Nothobranchius furzeri: one gene and its partners. The protein of the gene in region 5 interacts with the protein of the main gene of each other region in a pairwise test. Links are inferred from orthologs where the notes say so. Each region holds a gene or a part of one and is shown on either strand. Other genes may lie near its edges.

Region 1 (4,889 bases), on a different chromosome or scaffold from region 5:
CTCGATAAGCTTCATCTTCTGCCTCGTAGATCCTGAGCAGCGCCACCATCCGGTCAGCACTGCGGTGGCTCTGCAGCAGCTGGAAACACAAGAGCATAGAAACACTTTCACTCCTAGCCTGGTTACTTTACTGATCATCCTGCATGACTTCTAGCTCTGACTAACTAGAATGTTGATTTTCTTGTGCACCAGTGGACACCAAACAAACATTTCTTTGTTTAAACAACATTCATCCTAATTTTAAAAGCAGAAAAATATACCAGCAGGGTTGCAACATCCAGTTTTAGAGCTTTTTCCCACCACTGAGTGGTGCTAGTATTCAGGCTCCCGTTTTAACTCCAGGAAAATGAAGCATAATAAATAAATAAATAAATCACTAAACTCTACCAAATCAAACAATTATCTCATTAAAACAGGTAAATAAAGTGTGAGAAGTCAAATGTTACAGAAATTGTTTAAATCCAAGCTAACAATGATTGAAATGAAAGAAAAACATGAAATTGAGTTAGTTTAGTTTGTTTTGAATAAACATAGGAAACATCTTGCTGAGTAACAAGTTTTCTTTTGACAAGTTTGAGCCAAATCTAAATATAGATTTAAAGGGAAATGTTCATTTAACCAGCTGTTCTTCCAGCTGAAAATATTATTAAGATGTGGTGCTTAAGATTTGCATTTTTAAAGAGAGAATTGTTCTGTCTGGAAATTGATTAAAGCTTATTTTCTTCTGCCTTCATAAACATTTTTAGGAGATTTTCCAAACAGCAGGTCAGAGAGCTTGTCGGGGGAAATAAGCAGAACCTCTTTAGCTCCGGAGCAAACGAGCAAGAATCTGAAACATTCAGTAACTGAATAATGCAAATATATCAACCCTCATACTGTCTCACCTGTCTGAGGTGACTCTTGGCCCTCGACATCTCCTCCTGCATCGTCGTCTTCTTGAACTCCTGTAAGTTTTCAAAATATTCCTCAACGTCCCGCTCATCCTGAGTGAATAAAGTTTCCAGAACAATCTTCCGACCGCAGAGGTCGATGGCAGTGCTGAAGTATTTCTCCAGTTTCCTACATGGGGCATCAAAATCTCTCTCGCTGTCATCCTCGGGGCACGACCTTCGGTTGAGAAACAGCAAGTCCCAGATGTTACTTTCTTCAAAGCCGGATATATCCGGGAAGCAGCCCCCCAGGACGTCTGCCACGCACGTAAACTGTTGGTGAATGTGTTTTAAATCACTGACGGAGAAGAGTCCAGCCCAGCTCATCTGCGGGTCACCGACGGAAACTTCAGCCTTGCGTTTCTGTCGCTGTAACGTGCGGTTGTGACAGGTGACTGCGAACTTGGACTCTATTACATTCCACTGGACGATAAAACCCAGCTTAAACGTTTCTTCCTCTTCAAATATGTCGCTTTTAATGGCTACCCACCCTTCCAGGCTGTCTAACCGGTCTAACTCTACGCTGTCCATCTCAAAAACGGAGGTTTAGAGTTGGCCTCAGAAAGCTGCTGGCTCTGTTTACAACATCCGCCATTGCTGTGACGATAGATGCTTTCAATAATCACAAATATTCGGAAATTTGAAAGTTTCGTTGAACGCAAATAATCAGCCCTCAATTAAACACAGTTCTAGTATTTGGTTTCAATAAATGTTAATATAAGGAATGGATCAGAGAAACATATCAGGATGAGTTTATAATCTGTAAGAGAAACAAATGTGAGATTTCTTTAATGTAACAAACGTAATCTTGGCCCACTGAATAGCATATGCCCAACTTTATAAAAAAAAGTATAAATGATTGAATAGGGGCGTGTTTTGATTTTATTACGTTGTTTCACTAAGGCATGAACGGGGGCGCAAAAATCGAATCAAAGCGTTTCAGTGGCTGACTGGAGAATTTACGAGGATCCCTGAATGCATCGCAATGACTTGTTTCGCGTTCAACTTTGACCTTTGAATCACATGCTCGGGGAATTCCATCCACAAAAACAGCCTAAATCATCCTACAGACTATATATAAACATTTTATTTTTCTGAGTCAACAGAATAAATATGTGTCAATCAAGTAAACAGAATGTTTTAGTTCATTTTTCTAGTTTATCTTAGTGGATTTTTTAGATGTCTGACATCTGAGATGTGTTCTATTTTTATCATGGTTGAGGGGAGTACTCTGCAACTTTCTTACCAACACAGCCCTGAAAAGGTTGCTTTGTACGGACTGCTTACTGAGTTACAAAAGGTACATTTTAAATCAATAGAAAGGTAATTTGCATATGGTTAGTACAAGTGCTGTGTTTATTGACTTATATGAGTTAAAAAAGAGGATTTATTTGACCTAGAACCAGAAAATTTCAAACTTGTGTTCTGACAGTTTCATGGACCTGACTGAAATCCGAGGGCTCAGGCTGGATGTGATTTCAGAGGAAGGTGAGCACCAGGACTTGAGCAGAGGATCAACAACCATGGAGATGTTCAATTTGGCTTCAGATCGAGCTGGAAGGACCTTGCAGAGGTTCTCAGTCGGCACCAATGAATCATTTCGTTTTGAACCCTGTGAGGACAACTCTCCATCTCCAACTGGGGCAGCAGATGGATATGGTGATGATGATGAAGTGTTCAAGAAGGGAGAACCCGAGGTGGTGACATCATTTATAACTGAGGATTTGCAATTAAACATAAATGCACATTCATGAACATTTGGTGGTTTGAAATCTACATTGAATTCAGTTTTCCATTCAAATGGGTGAAAAACCTGCACAAAGAAAACAGTTATAGTTTATGTTTGGTTTTTTTTTTTTTTTACAACATAAAGGGATAAACTCTGACTTTTTGCTGCTTGTAGAGTGACATCGTCTCCATCAGGAACCGACTGCAGGGGAAGGTTGCTGAGATGGAGAATTTTGCAGGTCATCTGGAGGAAATCTTTCTCACCGTTGAGGTAAAACTAAGAAGTCATATTTGGTTTGGTGTGTCATTTATAGGTTTTAACTGTGATTTACTACTTTTAAAAGGAAAATTTTGTCTATTCTTGTTTTTGAAATGATTGATTTTCTATTTTTGACTCAAAGACATACATAACTTATCTCGAAGACTCACAAATCTATTTTTATTGCCTCTCATTCCATTCTTCTCTATGACTAATGTAAATCTCTGAATGGACCTCCATGATCATGTAAATCTGTCCAGGAGAATTTTGGCCGTCAAGAGCAACTCTTGGAGCAGCACTACAACGATGTGCTGCAGACTTTGTCTCAGCGATATGACGAAAGGGCGAGTGAACTGGAGGAAGAGAAAAAGAGTAAGTTGGAGTCTCTGTACAGCCAGCTGCTGGCCTGTGGTCAGGCACTGGGCAACTCGAAGGAGCTTATTGAGACAGCTCAGGAGACCTACCGCAGCCAGGACAAGAGACTCTTCCTGAAGGTGCTTTAGCTCAGTTTCTGCAGAACTTTGGAAATTGTTCAGCTGCCTTGATCTGAAAAAGCCATTTGCCTGATTTTTTTAACTTTTGTTGACAGACTGTTATGCCCATCATTAAAAGGTAAACATGACCATTCTAGTGAGTTTGCATGGCGTGACAACTAACATTTTTACAGGTTTAAGTTTGTGTGGCATGAAGCTGTTGTTGTAGCTCCAAGTAGCAAAAATCAGGAGGAGTTTCCTCATGGCATGGCATTTTTTACCTGTTAGCAAAATTTCTGATTTTCTTTTCATTGTTAACTAGATTTGAAACATTTGTGAAAGAGGATGTTGACCTCACCCTGTCTACAAGCCTTGAATTCAACACACCACTCGCTGATCTGTCAGATGTCACAACCATGATGGAGTCTATCAACATCATTCCAGGTCTGATTCAAAAGCGCATCCTCTATGCTCAATGGTGGCATTTTCGCAACAGCATTTTCTTTGTGACGTCAAAGCAGTTGAGTTTGTGAGTTTTGGTTTTGACACATCTAAACTTCTACAAATGAATAGGGTCAGTAGAAAAGTCCTGGCAAGGCTGATTGCACATAGCAACTGATTTTAGTTTTCTTACACATCGAGGCTCGTGTGTCCATACATTTAGTGAGGTTAGCAACCAGGAGAGTGTTGTGATTAGGGATGCACCGATACGATACTGGTATCGGCACCGATACCAATACCAGTATCGTGTCGGTAAAAGTTAACTGATACCAGCAACCGATACCAATGCAGTTGCTTGAAAATGGCTTCCCTGCAACTTGTCATTTCTGTTCACCTAATATTTTAGTTTAGTGATGATTTCCAGTCATACATTTTACTTTTTATCTACCTCACAGTATTTTCCTGTTGAAAGCAAAGAAGAAAATAAAATCTGTATTCCAAATCATTGCATTTTTTTGTGTGGTAGAAATATCGGTGCTGGTAATCGGAATCAGTGAGTACTCAGATCCGAGTATCGGTATCTTATCGGTTTGGAAAAAAGTGGTATCGTTGCATCCCTAGTTGTGATTAGACCATATCTATCTGAAGCATCTTCATTAGTTTCAGGACCACTTGATGACAGATTTATGGAACAGAATAATGGAAAAACTCGCATGATGATATTTTTATACCCTGAAGCTTGTCAGGATGGGATGGGATACAATATTGTAATCTGTTTGACAAAATTACAATAATATCACAGTGATATCAGAGTGACAGAAATTATAGGTTTACGTTAGATGTATGATACAAAGACCTTTCAAGGAAAGTTAAAGTAATTCATCCACGTAGGGAAATCAGATGGAGATGGACTAAAATGGCATCCATGAAGAATTCAGATACATTCTGATCTCACTTTTGCGTGTATCATCTCAATGATCCACAAGACTTTTGGGAAATATTTTGTGGATTGACAAGACTAAACTTAAGACTTCTAGATGGTGTGTGTCCTGTTATATC
Region 2 (5,044 bases), on a different chromosome or scaffold from region 5:
AAAAATAAATAATTGAAATGGGTATTTATTTGTTTTTAAGTTGCCTAATAATTATGCACAGTAATAGTCACCTGCACACACAGATATCCCCCTAAAATAGCTAAAACCAAAAACTACTTCCAAAAACATTCAGCTTTGATATTAATGAGTTTTTGGGGTTCATTGAGAACATGGTTGTTGTTCAATGATAAAATTATGACCTGCATAGCGACCGGTCATCTACAAATGTAATTCCACTTTCTAGGTGGATTTTCTATTCTATCTTCTAACACCCAGAAGATTTTGTAGTGCTTGTTGACATTTCATGAAGACAAGATTGTCAAACTTATCTCAGACTGCTGGATTCCACACTCTGAATGAAAAGTGAACTTTTACAACTCATAAGGTAAATCATTTATCGATATTTTTATTCGGTCAACTACAACAATTTATCAATTTTACATAAAAGTAATCAAGCAACCAAAAAGAATAGGTTGAAGCCTAGTGGCTTATAATTAGCCTATCCTTAACTCCCACAGAGATAATCAAATCCCTAACCAAGGCTGATAGATAAGATGCATACCATTTAAAGAAAAAGCAATGATAAATCAAGAAATCAAATCAACACAAGGTTAGACATCAAACTAAATTTCTATAACTTTGGAAGATGCAAATTTTTAAAATTTTCTTGAAAAATGACAAAGAATAACACATCTTCAGTTCATCAGTAAGTCCATTCCATAACTTCACTCCCAAAACCGACACACATCTATATTTAGCATTAGTTCTCGCTTTAGGTATTTCAAACATATAAGACCCCCTCAAATCATATTTTCCATCTCTTAATTTAAACATACTTAAAATACTAATTGGAACATTCTTTTTCACCACTCTATACACCATTTCTAAAGTTTTAAGATAAATAATGTCCTTAAATTTTAACATAGCTGATCCTACAAAAAATTGGTTTGTGGACTCCCTATATCCAGCTTTATTTATTATTCTAATAGCTCTTTTTTGCAATTTAAAAACTGAATCCAGATATGTTTTGTATGTTTATAATCATAAGGTTGAATGAACCAGATGTTATGTAAAATGTTTGAATAATCTTATGAGAAGATAGAATAGAAAATCCACCTAGAAAGTGGAATTATGTCTGTAGATGACCGGTCACTATGCAGGTCAATATATAGGTCAAAATTGCCCTTTTCTGGACGTTACACTGATGTCTTAACATAAACTGAGAACCAGGCGTCACAATGTGGTTGGAGGTTTAAATATTATTAAAGCAAGTGCTATAACTGTTAAATAGTACTGAAGCAAAAACTGCCATCAAGTGATTTTCCCTTTCAGTTTAGTAAATATTCAGTACCGATACAGGAGTTTTTTCTTTTTATTTAATTTTTAGGTTTTTGGTATTATCTGGCTAATAATGAATCCTTAAGGGAAAATTGTGCAAACCTTCAGTGAAATAAAGTGCGCAAAAATAATCAATAAAATCGTTTAATCTAAACAATTTAATCTCTGAGCCAGAAATTTTGATTCTCATAGATTAACACTCCGGGCCAGTCAGATGTTTTTGAATGTTTATGGTGTAGTATAACATTTGGCCACTAGATGGCAGAAGAGGAGCATTCTCAACACAACTTCCGCTACTGTGCAGGAAGTGACGAATTAAGTAAACAGTCGTCACTCAGTGCATCAAGAAGTTAAAATAATTGATATTTTAAGGCAAGATTTGCAAAAAAAATTGACCTAATGAATAGAAAGCGGGTAGTATAGGACGAACTCTAATAAACCTAACCCTAGCAAAGGTAAGAGGTTTGCGGCGACATTTCAATAGCAGCTGCCTGAAAGCTACATAAGCTAGCAGCTTTAGCAGCGGTGTTAGCATGTAGTTTGGTTAGGTCACGAAGTAGAAATGTATTGTTAGGTTTTAACCATAAATCCAGGGTTTCATACGTCTTTAAAGAGGCATTTACCTGGGAAGCAAGAGCTGTTCGTAACCAGATGTTTCTGCCGCTCCGGTATCTCTCCTCTGTCAGCATCGACTGAGTTCAGCATCGATTAGAAACGGTGACTGTTTATTTTACTGGAAAAAGTAGTTTACTTTAAAACGTTTCCATATTTATCCCAGAAAACATCTACTCGTTTGTAATTAAATCGCTCTTAGTAGAGTTAAAAGTAAGTTCCTGATATTCATTTCTTTAGTTTTTATATTTTAGATCTCAAAGTTGAGCTGTTTCTTTTTCAGGGACAGTAGAGACATTGTCCTACAATGTTCACAGACATGGACTATGATTTGGAGGAGGACAAACTGTGAGTCTTGATGCTTTATAATCTCTATAATCCATTTACACGCGTTGATGCCTCTTGTAACACAGACTTTTCTGTTTACACCAAACCCTTTATGATTATCTGCTGATGTGCGGTGATTTCTGGATATCAACACGTTTCCTCTTTATTAGCGGGATCCCAACGGTACCCGGCACTGTGACCCTGAAGAAAGATGCAAACAATCTTATCGGCATCAGCATTGGTGGTGGAGCACAGTACTGTCCCTGCCTCTACATCGTTCAGGTTGTTGTGTCGACATTAATTAGGGAAAAGAATCACTAAACTTCCATTTGAAGATGTCAGTGGAGAAATCCAATCGCTTTCTAGTCATTGTTACCGTGATTTGTGATTGTTCTGGTCTCTCAGGTCTTTGATAACACGCCGGCAGCTCTCGACGGGACGCTGGCAGCAGGTGATGAAATCACAGGTGTGAATGGGAAAACGGTGAAAGGAAAAACAAAAGTGGAGGTGGCCAAGATGATTCAAACGGTCCAGGTACTCGGGAATGACGCCAGTCTGTTATTTAAAGATCTGAACATTAGGAGGTTATGAGAATCTATTAGACATATTTCTGAGATTGAAGATTAAACACAGCAATACTTTCTATTACTGTTTTCTTCTATGTTATTCTTATATCATCAAACCAAACTTAAACCATTAAACTGACTTCATCTCACCTCGATATACTCTAGATAGATATAATTATGTTACTTAAATATGATGTAGAATTTAAAGTGTGTTACATAACAACATGCAGACCAATAAGGAGAGAGGATGGCTTACTTTCTGAAGTTCTGCTGCTTCATCTGTGAATATTTCCACGAGGTTGTGAGCCCAGTTTCACTCAGAGGAGCAGAGGGACGGTTTCAGCGTTCCAGGCTGTTTAAAAGAGGACAAAGGGACAAAGCTCGTGGCGTCACATCAGCAGGACAGAGCGACTGCTGCTTTTGGCTTCCTTTGTCCATCCAAAAGAAAACATGACTTCCTGAATGGTGGGATAAAAACTGGTCTCAGTGTGGGAATTAAAGGCTTACACTGTTGACGTTACCGTTTCAGGACGCACGCTGCTCGTGAAGGTCCCCTTCTGTACCACAAAGTTGACCACATAAACCATTTTGTTCCTAATGCTTGAATATTAGAAATGAATACAGATGTTTCCTGTTTTTACATAAAGAAGATCCTAAATTTGTGTGTGTGTTCACAGGGGGAGGCGGTGATCCACTACAACAAGCTGCAGGCTGACCCCAAACAGGGAAAGTCTCTAGATATCGGTACCCTAATCTGGATTTTCTACCACTCTCATGTTTTAGTGTAACGCTGTGTCGTCTTCTTAAGTCACGCTGGATGACGTTTGTTTGTTTCAGTGCTGAAAAAGGTGAAGCACCGCCTGGTGGAGAACATGAGCTCAGGCACAGCTGATGCTCTCGGACTCAGCAGAGCCATTCTGTGTAACGGTAAGTCTTGTTTTAAACGTTGTTGTTGTTGTTTAAAAGGTGACGGTTGGTTTAACCCTCTGGGGTCCATGGACGCGTACACGAGTCTATTGAACAGGTCTGATTTGGGACGCTGTAGCAGCAAGACTCCGCCTCCCTGAGTTTCATTTTCGATTCAGCTTTAGAAAGGAGATTATAAACTACACCCCCGTTTTTAAATTTTGTTCATAGGCAAGTAAAAGCGGAGTTATACTAAACAAAAAAAACAACCTATTTTTAGACAATCTGATAACTTGTCAAAACAGCAGTTTGGTAATCCGTGAGCGGGAATGTGCTTGTGAACATAAAAAACCCACAAAAACATGAGATCCTGTTGCTGTTGGTGGAAGTCTCACATATTCAGCTGATAAAAAGTATCATTGTGTAGCTGAAAGAGAGAGGAAGGCCGCACGAGTAACGAGACGTGCGCTAAAAGGAGCCGCTTTGTGGGGAAAGGAGTGGCGCCAACGGAGTAACAACAAACAATTAGACAGATATTGACGGTAAACTTCATATTTTGGAGCGATCCGGACAGAAATATTGTCTCTGCAGTTTAGTCGGCTTTTATTAGGCTTATATAAAGGATGATGAGAAGGATAAATGTCCACCAGGCAGTTCAGAAAGTACGGCTGTTTTTTGAACTGGAAGCAGAGGAAGTGGGCGGAGACTCGCAGCCGGAGTCTGAGGCAAACAGCGAGGATGTTGATGACGATGTGGCAAATCCATCCTTCCTCATAGAAGAGTTGGGTCATGATGAGGTAGAGGATGAAGGCAGAGATCCAGCTCCTCGGAGATCCAACAAGAGGAGTGGGCGGCGCCGCGCAGCTGTCAGAGCCACTCCCCACTCCAAAATGCATGTACATTATTGCCAAATTAATAAAATAAGTATAAATTCAGATAGTCCAGGTTGTCCTGAAAAAAAAATATGGCAATATTTATTGTTTTTATTAGAAAATGCAAAAGAAAAACCTAAATGAGTCAAAAAAGGTGATTTACACCCTGGACCCCAGAGGGCTAATATTTTTTTTTAATTGTAATTTGCTGTATTTAGTCATATTTTTTATACATGTACAGTCTAGATTACCATTCTCAATAATAAAAAAACATTTGTCATAAATGTTTGTTGGTTTCACAGTAAAATAAACAACTTTTTTTCCAAATCGGATTTTATGTTTTGAGTGATTTGAGGTCTAATATGCAACCCCTTTATGTCCAAATATAAAAAATAAGTATAAATTCATAAAGTCCAGGTTGTG
Region 3 (3,599 bases), on a different chromosome or scaffold from region 5:
TATGTGTGAGTACTACCCCCTAACAGAACCATGCACCTGGAGCTAAAAGAATCAAACTGGACACACCTGAGGAGATCTCCAAGTGGAGAGAGGAGAGACGCAAGTGAGCCTTGTTTACGTGATCGGACACCCGCGGTGAAGGGTTCTTTGGGTTTAACTGGTGTTCATTAGCATCGTTTAATTGGATTTTACAGAAACTATCCAACACTTCAGAACATCGAGAAGAAGAAAAAGATCATGGAGGCGCGGCAGCAGACTGGAGGGGTTCTTGAAACGGCTCAGTTTGGGTATGTGTGAGAACATTTGGACTGTTGACCAGCGAGGAACTATCCCCATCCAGACTCCAGAGCATGTAGGAGATGGGACACAAGGTTAAAACCAGTAGAACTATTCAGATTTTTGTTTGACAGACAAATGAGGGGCAGAGGCAGAGGAAGAGGTCGTGGGAGGGGAAACAGAGGGTTCAGAGGGCGACGCCCACAAGGCCCTCCAGTTGAAAGCAGGTCCTCCGAGTCTCCCAGACCCCCCATCCATTGTCCCAGAGGTGAAGATCCATTGGGTGTACTGGCACACGGTGATCATGGTGAGTGTTCTCCAGTCTGGAACGTTTCCTACAAATTGGAGGCAAAAACCAGATTTCTTTGCTTTGTGCTCCCAGATTCAGACAAAGAGGCTCCAGAGTCCAGACCGGTTCTGGTTGTGCCTCCTAAACAGATGAGCTCAGCTCTCGGCGCCTTGATGGCTAACTACGGTTCCATGAGTGAAGAGGATGAGGAACCAGAAGGTGGTGAACAAACCTATGTTTGGCCATTAGGATGCGTAACACTGCTTTATGTTTACCCAGAATGCAAAGAGAACCCTTTTTAGGCGCCATAAAATCCAAGTCGTGACCTCTTCAACGGTTCTTCTCATAGATGTGTGCACAACCCGTTAACACAGAAGCTCTGAGAGATCTTTAATGCCACTTGCGCACTAGCATTGGCTCCACTCTGCGTAACCCGCCCCAGTCTGGCCACGTTTGTTCCACACTGCCTTAGGAATGCGAACGTGATTGAGAACATGGGCGGTCTCCAAAGTTGCCGCAGGTGCAAAAGATCGTGGCGAAGTCTGTGGTGTATCCATTATTAAACAAAGGCAGCCTGAGCAGTCTTGCTTTTGGAGACTCTGATACTACGTCCTGCTTTGCTGTGTGTGTGTGTGTGTGTACCTCCTCACAGCAATGAGATACAGAAAAATGGCTTCAGTCAGAGGCTTGTTAACTCCACAGCATCCAGAATGCGGGAATCCCCTGCTGGCTGATTACATCTGCCAATCCGAGGCTCCCCTAAATGGTACGATTTTGAGCTGGCCAATCAGTCGGCAGTGGGCATATTGGACCAGTTCAGCTCCAGGCCGACCACCTTGGGAATAGGGCTGCAAAGACATCCGGTTGCATGCGGGAAAATCCACAACATTCCCAACCCGGTCCAGGCGGAGTGGAGCCGATGCTTGTGTGTAAGTGCCATAACTGAAGCCAGGGTTCGAATTACGTGGGAGCTGAAGGTGACGGGGTCCCCTGAAAGTCAACAATAGACGCACAAGAGGTGCATCGTCTGCCTGGTGTGGTGATGTTTATCGTATCGCCAGATTCCTACCAATACACAACCCTGGTTTGGACTTGTTGAATGTGTTTTCCCAATAATAAGCTTGTCTCTTTGTGTCATAGCTGTTCCCATTCAGAGAGCCAGAGACCTAGTTCAGGAAAACAAGACCATCCTAAACAGAATCCAGCCCACCTCTGGGTACACAGGGCCTTCTAGAGGTCTGGAAACCTCTACAGAGACGGATCAAGCTCCTCACTTCTACTCTGGTCCTAACACAGTCAAAAACAGGAGAGGTCACCGTGGTAGAGGAAGAAGACACCAAGATACGCCTCAGAAACGTCGTCCCACTTTACTAGAAATGGTACGAGTCTACATGACACAGACATGTAGACATGACTGATGTCTGGTTTTAATGTAGTTCTCCTTTTCAGCTACTAGCTCCAGACATCCGCCACGAGAGGAATGTCCTCCTCCAGTGTGTACGCTATGTTGTCCACAACAACTTCTTTGGACTGGAGAGCGAACATAAGAACCAGCAGACTGAAGACATGTCGGCCACCAGAACTGTCCACAATAACCCGAGTCCAGCAGACGAACCTGAGAACATCAGCTGTTCTGTTGGTGGAGTCGCACCAGAATGTGGAGATCTGCAAAGAGAAGGAACAAGACAGGATGGGAGTTTGATGAGTAACGGCCTGTCTGATCCATGCGGTGAGCCTCCTTTAGACTCTGAAGGGAGTTCTGATGCAGCTGCTGCAGATTTGGTCCAGAACGGCGACGAGATGACCACCTCCTCAGATAAAAACATGTCTGCCTCCAACATGTATGATGATGAGATATGGGAGAGCAACCAGGCTGCTTTGTGAAGATCACAGCGTCTTTGTTTTATTTTGAAATGATTCTGCTTGTTTATAGAAATATCCTCTTTTGTTATATAAAACTATGCATCTGTAAAGTAAGATCCCTATACTATAGCACTTGTTGGTCTTTACAGTCATGTTGTAGTGTTATGTTCTTTTAATATTATTTTTCTTAATTTTGTCACATTACAGATCACAAAACACATTTCAAAATTAGACAACTGTGTAAATACCAAACACCTACAAACGCTAGGATTTCATTTATTAAGGGAACAAAACTATCCAAACTTACCTTGGTCTGTGTGGAAACGTGACGCCATTGTTAAAATATGAATTAACCAATCTTGCAAATACGACAAACTTGATAAAAGAGCGATGAGCTTTCTTTTAAATGTTTTAGTAATATTAACATATTTGCTTATGGAAGGGAGCATCTTGGGAAAATATGTCTTGGGGCAGATAAAGGTTTAAGACATGTATCTGACCATATTTGAAATTAATCTAAACTCAGAGAATTTGAATACACCTTCCATTGCTACTTGGACACGTCATCAGTAAAGAACCCGGGGTCATAGGGTGTTTCGGGTCTTTAATCTTCATACACCCTCACCCGGGCGACCCAGCTGAGGTTGATCAGTCCCCAGCTTGTGTCCAAGTGGCCTATTGCTCCAAGGATCCCCCTCTGCGGCCTCGAGGATGGTTTTGGTGGGTTTCTTCAGTTTCAGTCCTCTTACTCCAAGGAGTTTGAGGGTTCGCAGCAGTGAGTGGCCAGCAAAGCCTCGGCGCCCAACCTCGACAGGCTCACAACGAACTTTCCAGCCGTTGTTCCGACACTCCGAGCTCAGCTCTGCATACAGTACTTGGCCGTCTTTCACTCGTGGGCCTCTTCAATATGGTCTTCCCAAGGGACTGTCAGTTCTAGGATGACCACTTGCTTGGTGGACTCAGATATCACCATATCTGGGCGGAGAGACGTAGCTGTGATGTTTTCTGGGAACTTGAGCTGTCTACCTACATCAACTTGAAACTGCCAATCGCGAGCGGTAGAGAGAAGCCCCCCTTGGGAGCTAGGCCAGTGGCATTGTGCCTTCTGCCCTGCTTTAACAAAGGTGATAGCTTGTTGGGGAGCTGCCTGGGTCTTGCTGTGCTTAATTGA
Region 4 (4,935 bases), on a different chromosome or scaffold from region 5:
AACATTTAAAACACGTGTGTGTACACACACACACACACACACACACACACACACATATATATATATATATGTGTATATATATATATATATGTATATATGTATGTATGTATGTATGTATGTATGTATGTATGTATGTATATAAGTCTATTTATCAGACACAGGTGACATCAAGATTTATAGAATAAAATAGAACCATAAAATGATAAATTAATCATTTAGTTATTTTTACTCATTCCAGTTAAGTTGTGGTTTATTAATTTATGTATGTTAGGCTACTATAAAAGGAAATAGTTCAGGTTAATTATAAATTTTGAGTTCTATTTAATACAAGGAAAAGGCTGAACTAATTCAACACATTTGAGTTCTAAAATATTTGATTATTTTCAACATTTTGGGTTTACAGAGTGCAGAAAGATGAGGGCGCACAAAAAAATAAAAATAAAAAATACAACTGAACCAAAATATCACTGTCCCAAACATGCTGAGGCTATATAAAGCTTGAGGCACACCGTAGGCGGACGATCAGTGTTGCTCCTGCGATTTTGAGAACAAGATTTTGTCACACAGGAAATGCCACTGAGCACTTCTGGAAAGTCGTGCGATAGTCACAACATCACGCGGGACTTGAGAACAGGAAGCGGGAAGTGACTCTATTGTTTATACTTGATCAGACTTACCATAGCATTTTGTGAGACTCAAATTTTTTAAAAGTGGGAAAGTATACTATTTATTAAAATACATGAACATCAATAGTACTTTAAAGTTATCAAAAGTGCGGTTGGGTTTGTTCTGCGTCGTAATGTCTACTGTAAAGTACTCCACAATGTTGTAAAGCTGCGGTGGCGCTGCGCGGCTGCGCCTGAGATGAAACTGGTGCCTATCTTGTTTTATCTCCGGTTCTATTCTTCTTCAGCCAACACGTCGGACATGTTCAGAAGAAGAACCGGAGATAAAACAAGTTCTGGTTTGGAGCAAGAGTTTATAAAGAAGTTAGCGAGATCCAGCATTTATTTTGGTAACCAACTTCTGCTTATTGGCAAGCAAATTTGTACATTAGCTAAATGATTAAGTACCAGCTAAATATTTATTTTTCACAATGTTATTTAGCTCCACACTATATTTTATATTTTTTGAGTCAGACTTAAATATTTATTTCTCAAATACTGATTTTGCAAACTAAATGTTTAGCTCCAAAATAAATATTTAGCTGGGATCTAAATATTTATTTAGGAAAATAAATATTTAATTTACAAATCAAATATTTAGTTCCAAAATAAATATTGAATTAGTAAATTAAATATTTAGTTAGTGAATTAAATATTTATTTTACAAACTAAATATTTAGATCTGACCTAAATATTTAGTTTGCAAAATAAATATTTAACTACAAATTAAATATTTAGCTTGCTAACTAAATATTTATTTGGAAACTTTAACATTTATAAACATGGTGAAAATACGACTTCAAAAAAGTGAACTCCCAATTTTTTCTCTTATGATATGCTAAATAACCAAAAGTATTGCTGTTAGATTACGACTGTTTGACTTCACAAATGGCACCCCAAAGTACAAGTGCCTGAGTAAGCTGTAAAAACGAGAGGGATCAACATGTCGACGGCGCCGAGCTGCGACTGTCCCTTTAAGAAAATGCACTTGCAGCCATTTTCTGCTCTTTGTGTGGAGCGGATTAGCACAGGGCTGGTACCGAGCGAAACTAGAGCATCAGTCGGTACGGAACACCCAGAAAACACCCAGGAACCACCGGAGAGCTGTCGCAGGACCGCGACACCGGCCACCCGTCTGCTTGTCGCCGGACTCCGCGGGACATGCGATTTTCGGGTAGGTGGAAACATGGATGCAGAGGAAGGAGAGAGGCTGGGGGTGATGATGTGAGCTGGGTAGTGATGATGGCTGGAGAGCGACCGGGAGAGCTGCTGCCGCTTTTCTCTCCCTCCGTCTCGCGCTTTTACATCTTTCCCGTCACCTGTGTGTTTGTGCATGAACGAGATTCCGGATGAAAAGATGAGCGGATGAATGTGACTGATGAATGGGAGTCCCGTTCGCCTCCATCGGTGCCGTGGCTCAGATGGGTGGGGTGAGGCTTCCCGAGCAGCAAGTGCACCGAGGAGTGATGGAGCACGTACACGTACAGATAACGGTTTCCCGAGCCGGTAACGTCTTTTACACAGATAAGGTAAAATATACACCCGAGTGAGTTTATGTTTAGGACTCCGAGAGCTCGATCACACATTTTACTCCCCCCTCCCCCCCTTTATTCTGTATCTACGGTGAGAAATGCCCTTCTCCACCCTAGAACCCCCCCGTAGTTGATGCATCCGACCAGCAGGCCACACGGTCCAGACCCATCACGGCCATCGCACCAGCAGCCTTCGGGCCTGGGTGATCACCATCCCCGGTTCACACGCTTCCGTCTCTGCATTCACACCGCTGCACACCTCTTTCCTGAAATCCGCCTCTCATCATGTGCTGTCAGCAAGTTGTAAACATGCAGCGATGCAGATTTTCCATGTAGTGGTGGAGAAAACCATTTTAACTGATCTAAAGTGGTTGCACTGGTTCAGACAAGACTGGGACTGGTGGGTTGTGTTCACCATTAGAGGCGCCTCTGGTATCACTGCTTCATCACAAGACAAACTGTTTAAAAATCATTATTTTTTATTGAAGTTTAGGTTAAAAGCAACACACATGAATGGAGTTGCTGTTTTTTGTTTTGTTTTCTAGAGAAGATGTCTACTGTTTGACAAAAAAAAGTAATCCCGTTGATTAATTGGCACATTTACAGAACAAAAGAGAAAATAATCACATTTATCTTTGGCTTCTTGTCGAGCTCTAAGGCCCGGTTCACACAGGAGGGTTTAAAATTGTGGGGTGATTTTTAAAAACGTGAGAGACCCCACACGAGGTGATGAAAAATCACCAAACAGTTTTGGTCCTGCAGTCCAGCAACATGGCTAAAACTACACACCGATTAGATGAGAAGTCTTGCTAAACCTATCTGTGGTGGAGGAGGAGCATGCTTTTGATGGACTTTCAACATGAAGCATGTTTGTTTGTCTTCGATGTTGGGCCGAGCCCAGATTTAAGATCGAAGCAGTCCCGATGTCCTTCTGAGAAGACCAGAGTGGCTGTAGCACCCCACACATGGCCAGAATCAGAGGTTGACTAATATTGTTTTTTGTATTGCTGATACCAATGCTTTGGTGGACACCAGCAGTTAAGGATGCTGCCAAGCTGAAGAAAGAGTCCTGTCAGGTCTTTTTGGCTTGTGGGACTCCAGAGGCAGCTGACGGGTACCGGTGGTCCAAGCAGAACGCGGCTCGGGTGGTCGCCAAGGTAAAAACCCGGGCATGGGAGGAGTTCGGTGAGACCATGGAGCAAGACTTTCGTACGGCTTCAAGGAGATTCTGGTCCACCATCCAGCGCCTCGGGGAGAAAGCAGTGTGCTACCAACACTATCTATAGTGGGGACGGTGTGCTGCTGACCTCTACTCAGGACTTGTGGATCGGTGGGCAGAATACTTTGAAGACCTCCTCAATCCCACCGACACGTCTTCCAGTGAGGAAGCAGAGTCTGGGGACTTGGAGTTGGGCTCTCAAATCTCTGGTGCTGAGGTCATGGTCAGTCGATGGCCGATTTGTGCAGCCGAAATTTTGGGCAGATTTTAGTGATGCACCGATATGAAAATTTTGAGCAGATGTGATATGTGATATTAATTTCACTGTTATGGACGATAACCGATATTTGCCAATACTGATATATTGACATAACTGCTTCAAAAATCAGGAGATTCGGTGGAGAATGAAAATTATTAAAGCTGAATTTACATCATTATGTACAAACACCTCACACATTTACGCTTCTGAGATGATTATCATCAATGTCACATGACTAAACAAGTACACATCAACCTCTGAAACAGAGAAACAAAAGGAAATGATGGGAAAAATATTTGTTGTTAATATTGACCCAGTTTTATTTATCGGACTGATGCCTATATATGAAAAAAGGTCTAACTTCGGCTGATACCGATATTGATGCCGATATATCGTGCATCCCTTGCAGATTTTCATGGCCGATATTTATCAATCAATCAATCAAAGCTTTATTTATAAAGCGCCTTCCGCAACCCTGTCAGGAAGCCCAAAGACATTTACCACCTTATTTTGATGCCAAAATGTCACTAATAACATTAGTTCATGCACAGATTTTCTGAAGCTGGATCCATTTTTTGAACACTTAATTTAACCAGCTGTTAAATCTTTGTTTTGTGCACTGATCAGTGTTAAAATCAATAAGGTTGCACCAATATGACATTTTGGGCCGATACTGATATCCTAAACTAATATTGGCTGATTAACGATATGTGCCGTTTAGGGTTGTCATGGTGTGAAAATTTAACCTCACGGTTATTGTGACCAAAATTATCACTGTTTTCGGTATTATCGCGGTATATTTTTTTTAAACGTGTTACATTTTCAGACAAGTACATAAACCCTAGCCTAGTGAACTAGACCAAATTCTTGCTTTGCAAAGAATGGTCTAGGCATGCTCCATTGGAACCTCAGCAGCTCCTACCAGGACTCTGGCTAGCCAATCACAGCTCTCTAGAGGGGTTTCAAACACATAAAGAGCTGTGATTGGTCCACAATGGTGGACCAATCATAGTGCTCTATCTGCTTAGTGAACAAATCACAGAGCTTTATCTGCTTTGTGGGCCAATCAGGGCCCTCTATATGCCTGGTGGGTGGGATGATGCAACAGAGTGAAACAAGAGTATGTCACATTCATTGTCCAGTGGAATGTGGAGATCATTTGAAAGACAACGGTAGAACCTGCCCCACAACCGAGAGCCGTCAATGGAGCATGGCCAGACTAAATAATACATTTATTTAGTCTGGCTTGCCAGGCTACAT
Region 5 (4,274 bases):
TTAATGGATGAGAGAATTACCACGAAGTGTAAATTGATACGACTGGCTGGCTCACCATTAAATGTAGCGGAGGCAAATCGATGATTTTTATTTGTTATGACCAGGAAGATGTAATATTCTATGTAAATATAAATATTAACCTGCTAGGTCTATATTGTAACTGAAGATTCTAGGTTTTAATTCAGAAGATCTAGGTTCTTTGCTTTTTCAGTGATCAACCACACTTCGTGTTACTTCAAGAAAGAGTCAGGTTTATAAAAGTAAGAATTTATTTAGCAAACAATTAAAACATGACTAATTAACTAAGCATTTACTGTGAGTGAATGTAACTAAACGTGATGAAAGAACCAATGTGTGAATGCGGTGTCAGTCAGAGCTTCCTTATCAAAGTAAGCTGAGTTCTGGTGAACAGAATTTGGTTTGCTCTAAGCTATAAAGTTGTTATCATCAGAAGAACATCAGACGCAATCTATCATGTCTACTTCACCCATTTTTGAGAGACCCTCTTGGTGGATCCGAAAGTCGCAGGGGTCGGCTGATCTTTGGCACCGGAGGGTTGTAGAATACCGTGGTACCGACTCTTCAGTCCAGAGATGTCTCGGGTCATAACAGCTGGATGGAACCGTGCGTCTGGCAGACTCTTAAGGAGTCTCACAGTATCAGCTTTGTTTCTGCAGGAGCTGTTTGCTCATCAGCTTCGCAGGTGCAAAAAGGTTTTGACGACGTGTCAAAATCTTTGATGGCTAAAGAGGTTTACTACAGGTGGCCGGTCTGAAGCGATTCTCCAGAACCCTCGAATCACTCAGGATGATCCAGTTTTAAGGTTTTGATGTTATGATTTGCACAGCCAATCAAAGGCTGACAGGTTTGAGAGATGTTACCAAGACAACTCAGAAACATGCCTTCTTGATACGGGACGTTCTGACTGGTTTAAAAGTCTCTGTGTGTTGGAGTTTAACTTAACCGTACTTGTTATTGTGAGTGCAGGCGTGAGGACCTCGTCGTCAAAACATGTTGAACACATGGCGGGTTCTAGTAGACATAAACATAACATAACATCCATTCAGTGAGCACAGATTAATGAAGCATTTCATTATACTATAATTATTGTAAGTAGTAATAAACAAATGTTTATTTAATGATTATCTAGATTATAAGTCATGGAAGAAGTTCATATTGATTTAGTAAATCATTCTTGAATTTAGCAACTCATTCGAGCTGGAGTTGTTCCTTCTGTGGAGGCAGCCAGATGGGACCTTGGGAAAGAAAGTTATTGTTTATCTTTCAGAGCTGCAGAGTCTGTGAGCCCCAGCTGGTATGAAGGCAGGCTCATTTAAAGGGAACACATGCAGTGTTGTGTCTCCTTTCTGACCAGGTGTTGAATAGATGTTGAAAGGTCAGACTGTACCTAAAACTGACCATCGCTGGACGCTACAGATTGCTGTAATCAAATTTGACCACAAGATGTCGTTTACTTCATTCTACAACTTGCAGCTTCACATTTTAATATGTGTTTCAGCTACATGCTGTTGTCAGTTTGGGAAGCATGTAGCTGAATCGTGATCATTTAGCACTTATTACATACTTGGATACCGTGTAGGGCTGGTTATCCATCTACCTCCTCGTTCGTCACTGTGGAGGTGTGGCCACTCACCCCCTTTGTTGAACATTTCTGTTCATTTCTGTGGTTTTTGTAGGCTTTTATCAAAGATGTCCACGAGGGATCTGTCACCGTGGCTTTTGAAAACAAGTGAGTAATATAATGTTTACACACACGACAGTAAAGCTTTATAGTAATACATCTGACGCAATAATAGTAGGATTAAATAATGTTTGTGTTTGTCCGATCCAGTTGGCAGCCGGAACGTCAGATCCCATTCCAGGATGTCCGCTTCCCTCCTCCAGCGGGCTTCAGCAAAGAGATCAACGAAAGCGACGAAGTGGAGGTGAGAAGGGTTCAAACCTCAGGGACAAGCAGGTTCAGGTATTCATCCAAAGGGCAGGAAATAGAAGGACAAGTATGTTTTAGGTGGCAAAAACACTAAAACTCTGGTTTAGAGTTTTCACCTCCAACCCACAGAACAAACTGTTCCAGCAGTTCAGCCTTTCCATTTTAATTGTAATCATAATAATTAATATAGCAGAGGGATGTCCCATTCCGATATCGATATCGGAAGTAATTCGATATCAGCCCAAAAACACTATCGGATTATATCAGACTGCATCAAAACTCTCTGATGTAAGCAGTCCGTTAAGGTTCACATTGTTGGCAACCAATGGTTAAAAAATGTTGTCATTTTTTTCATACTTACTATTGTTGGCTCTTCTTCTCTGATTAAGTAACATCTTTTGATCAAGCCTTTCATACATTCCACACTACAAAACCGGTATGTAGGATTTGTGCTGATATCGTATCGGATAGATATCGGTATCGGTCAATACTGAAAGGCTGCAATATTGGTATCGTATCAGAAGTGAAAAAGTTGTATCGGGACATGCCTAATATAGCATAAATGTGTCGGCACAAAAGCAGAGTATTCAGATTTGTCAACCCTGAACCGCACTAAAGCGTTAAAAAACAAGGACCTTGTCAATTATAGCTGAAATAATTCTTTTAAAGTGTGATTACAAATATTCCTCAAGGCCTAATGTATACGTCTGCGTTGGTATGGAGACACGCAACGCCGGTATCTGTCGTTGCCAGGGCTCTCCAACAAATGGCATCAGCTCACTTCCTGTTACTGCTTTGATCCTTTTTATGTAGTTACAGGGTTTCCCTTACATAGGCGTAGCCGTGGCGGCCCGCCACGGCTGAAATCTTGCCGCCACGCCTACAAGATCCCAAGTTTTATTTATTTATTTATTTATTTATTTATTTTTGCACTGTTTCCCGAAGAAGCAGCGGGAACTACTATGTTGTTGTCGCTTGTGATCACAGCCGGCGAGCAGCAAGAAGAAAGGAGCAGGCAGGGCAGGGTGCAGTTACAGCATAAGTTACTGAGTTTAAAATCAGAAAGGTAGCAGTGGATATAATGCTTTTACGTTTACATGTTTCAGCAGCATTAAGATAAACGAGTGCTGACCATCCTGACAGGGTTTCCTCCAGTGCTTATTAGGCCAGGTTCTCCTCCCCCACCAGGCTAATCATCACTTATTCATGTAAAATGTATTTATTACTTCATGTCTGACTTTAACCACATCTAATACTGTATTACGGCGTGAGCGCAACAGCGACAACTTAAGATCGATGTGTGAGCAGCGTGAGAGGTCGGGTGTTTCATCCGAACCCTTAAAACCTCCAGCAGGCTACGCTGCACTAAGTATTAGCGCGCAGCGCTACATGTCTACATTAGCGACGTGACATGTCTCGGAGAAAGCGTAAAAACACGTTGGACGCTTCTTCTGAAGCGGGAAAATAACGCTTCTTCTTAAGCAGAGCACGACGTCGCCTCGGCTCGTTCACGGCCGAGCCGGTACCGGACTGAGCTCGATAACATGACCCAGCACAGCCACTGGGTCGTTGGAGCTGCCCCGTGACTGCCTGATGGAAAACCAGCGGGTTTCATCAGACTCGTAAGGTTTCTTGTTTTTGCTGGGGACCCCCTGTATTTTACCGCTGCCTCCTGCAGTCTTCCCCTATTAACATTTAAAATGATTCTGTAAACTCGTGTATCGATAGAAACAATCTCTGTCTAAATGTAATTCTCAAATAATAAATAAGACGTGCATTCATCCGTGTATCTCCTTTGATCCGCATTAGTGATGTTTTCAGCACCAGAACAGTGAAGCAAAGAAACATTCCTGAGTTTGTTAGTAATTTCATTCATTAGGTACATCTGACCTGTTCTATTTTTCTCTGAAATGAGATCAAATCAGTGCTTCTATGGGTTGTCTCCAATCTGCACTGGAAAATTGTACTTTATTTAGAGACGTGGCATAATCCCCCCCCCCTGCCACAGCTGGAAAAATTCCTAGGGGAAACAGTGAGTTAATAAAACAGCTGACATGTCGGTGTGACGTAGCTTTGTTCCTGACTCATGTTTTTGCTGGAAGTTTTAAACGCCGTCAGACGTTTTAGTAGAGCTGAAAGCTTTTGTTGGTTCACTGGCTTTGTGTGCTTTCCAGGTATACTCCAGGGCTAACGACAAAGAGCCGTGTGGATGGTGGCTGGCAAAGGTCCGCATGGTGAAAGGAGAGGTGAGGCTCTCCGCTTACTTCCTGTTCTAAGGCTCGGCAGCAGTACGGGTCTAGAGCGTAGGACCGACTTGTAGAAA

The links.
Region 1: the proteins of fmr1 (region 5) and fibronectin type III and SPRY domain-containing protein 2 interact in binary tests that used the Homo sapiens proteins (3 or more experiments, as listed by UniProt). The link is inferred for Nothobranchius furzeri from reciprocal best matches to the Homo sapiens genes FMR1 and FSD2.
Region 2: the proteins of fmr1 (region 5) and pick1 interact in a two-hybrid assay, tested with the Homo sapiens proteins (2 studies listed by BioGRID and IntAct). The link is inferred for Nothobranchius furzeri from reciprocal best matches to the Homo sapiens genes FMR1 and PICK1.
Region 3: the proteins of fmr1 (region 5) and nufip1 interact in a two-hybrid assay, tested with the Homo sapiens proteins (2 studies listed by BioGRID). The link is inferred for Nothobranchius furzeri from reciprocal best matches to the Homo sapiens genes FMR1 and NUFIP1.
Region 4: the proteins of fmr1 (region 5) and cyfip2 interact in a two-hybrid assay, tested with the Homo sapiens proteins (2 studies listed by BioGRID and IntAct). The link is inferred for Nothobranchius furzeri from reciprocal best matches to the Homo sapiens genes FMR1 and CYFIP2.

Annotation. Positions count from the first base shown.
Region 1 is NC_091749.1:41,524,036-41,528,924, forward strand, and holds the start of fibronectin type III and SPRY domain-containing protein 2, read left to right. Parts: upstream 1-1,934; 5' UTR 1,935-2,124; coding exon 2,125-2,252; intron 2,253-2,361; coding exon 2,362-2,629; intron 2,630-2,832; coding exon 2,833-2,928; intron 2,929-3,176; coding exon 3,177-3,410; intron 3,411-3,505; coding exon 3,506-3,528; intron 3,529-3,711; coding exon 3,712-3,833; intron 3,834-4,889. Other genes in the region: WASP homolog-associated protein with actin, membranes and microtubules, read right to left, coding at 1-79, 885-1,460.
Region 2 is NC_091752.1:66,109,064-66,114,107, reverse strand, and holds the start of pick1 (PRKCA-binding protein), read left to right. Parts: upstream 1-1,652; 5' UTR 1,653-1,793; intron 1,794-1,919; exon of another isoform or gene 1,920-2,163; intron 2,164-2,233; 5' UTR 2,234-2,257; coding exon 2,258-2,298; intron 2,299-2,447; coding exon 2,448-2,559; intron 2,560-2,653; exon of another isoform or gene 2,654-2,682; coding exon 2,683-2,811; intron 2,812-3,520; coding exon 3,521-3,587; intron 3,588-3,680; coding exon 3,681-3,770; intron 3,771-5,044. UniProt on the Homo sapiens protein: Probable adapter protein that bind to and organize the subcellular localization of a variety of membrane proteins containing some PDZ recognition sequence.
Region 3 is NC_091742.1:74,292,437-74,296,035, forward strand, and holds the end of nufip1 (FMR1-interacting protein NUFIP1), read left to right. Parts: intron 1-26; coding exon 27-103; intron 104-194; coding exon 195-287; intron 288-410; coding exon 411-583; intron 584-658; coding exon 659-784; intron 785-1,705; coding exon 1,706-1,944; intron 1,945-2,014; coding exon 2,015-2,449; 3' UTR 2,450-2,550; downstream 2,551-3,599. UniProt on the Homo sapiens protein: Binds RNA.
Region 4 is NC_091742.1:50,768,161-50,773,095, reverse strand, and holds the start of cyfip2 (cytoplasmic FMR1-interacting protein 2), read left to right. Parts: upstream 1-1,647; 5' UTR 1,648-1,839; intron 1,840-4,935. UniProt on the Homo sapiens protein: Involved in T-cell adhesion and p53/TP53-dependent induction of apoptosis. Does not bind RNA. As component of the WAVE1 complex, required for BDNF-NTRK2 endocytic trafficking and signaling from early endosomes.
Region 5 is NC_091741.1:30,645,997-30,650,270, reverse strand, and holds part of fmr1 (fragile X messenger ribonucleoprotein 1), read left to right. Parts: intron 1-1,697; coding exon 1,698-1,750; intron 1,751-1,852; coding exon 1,853-1,946; intron 1,947-4,125; coding exon 4,126-4,197; intron 4,198-4,274.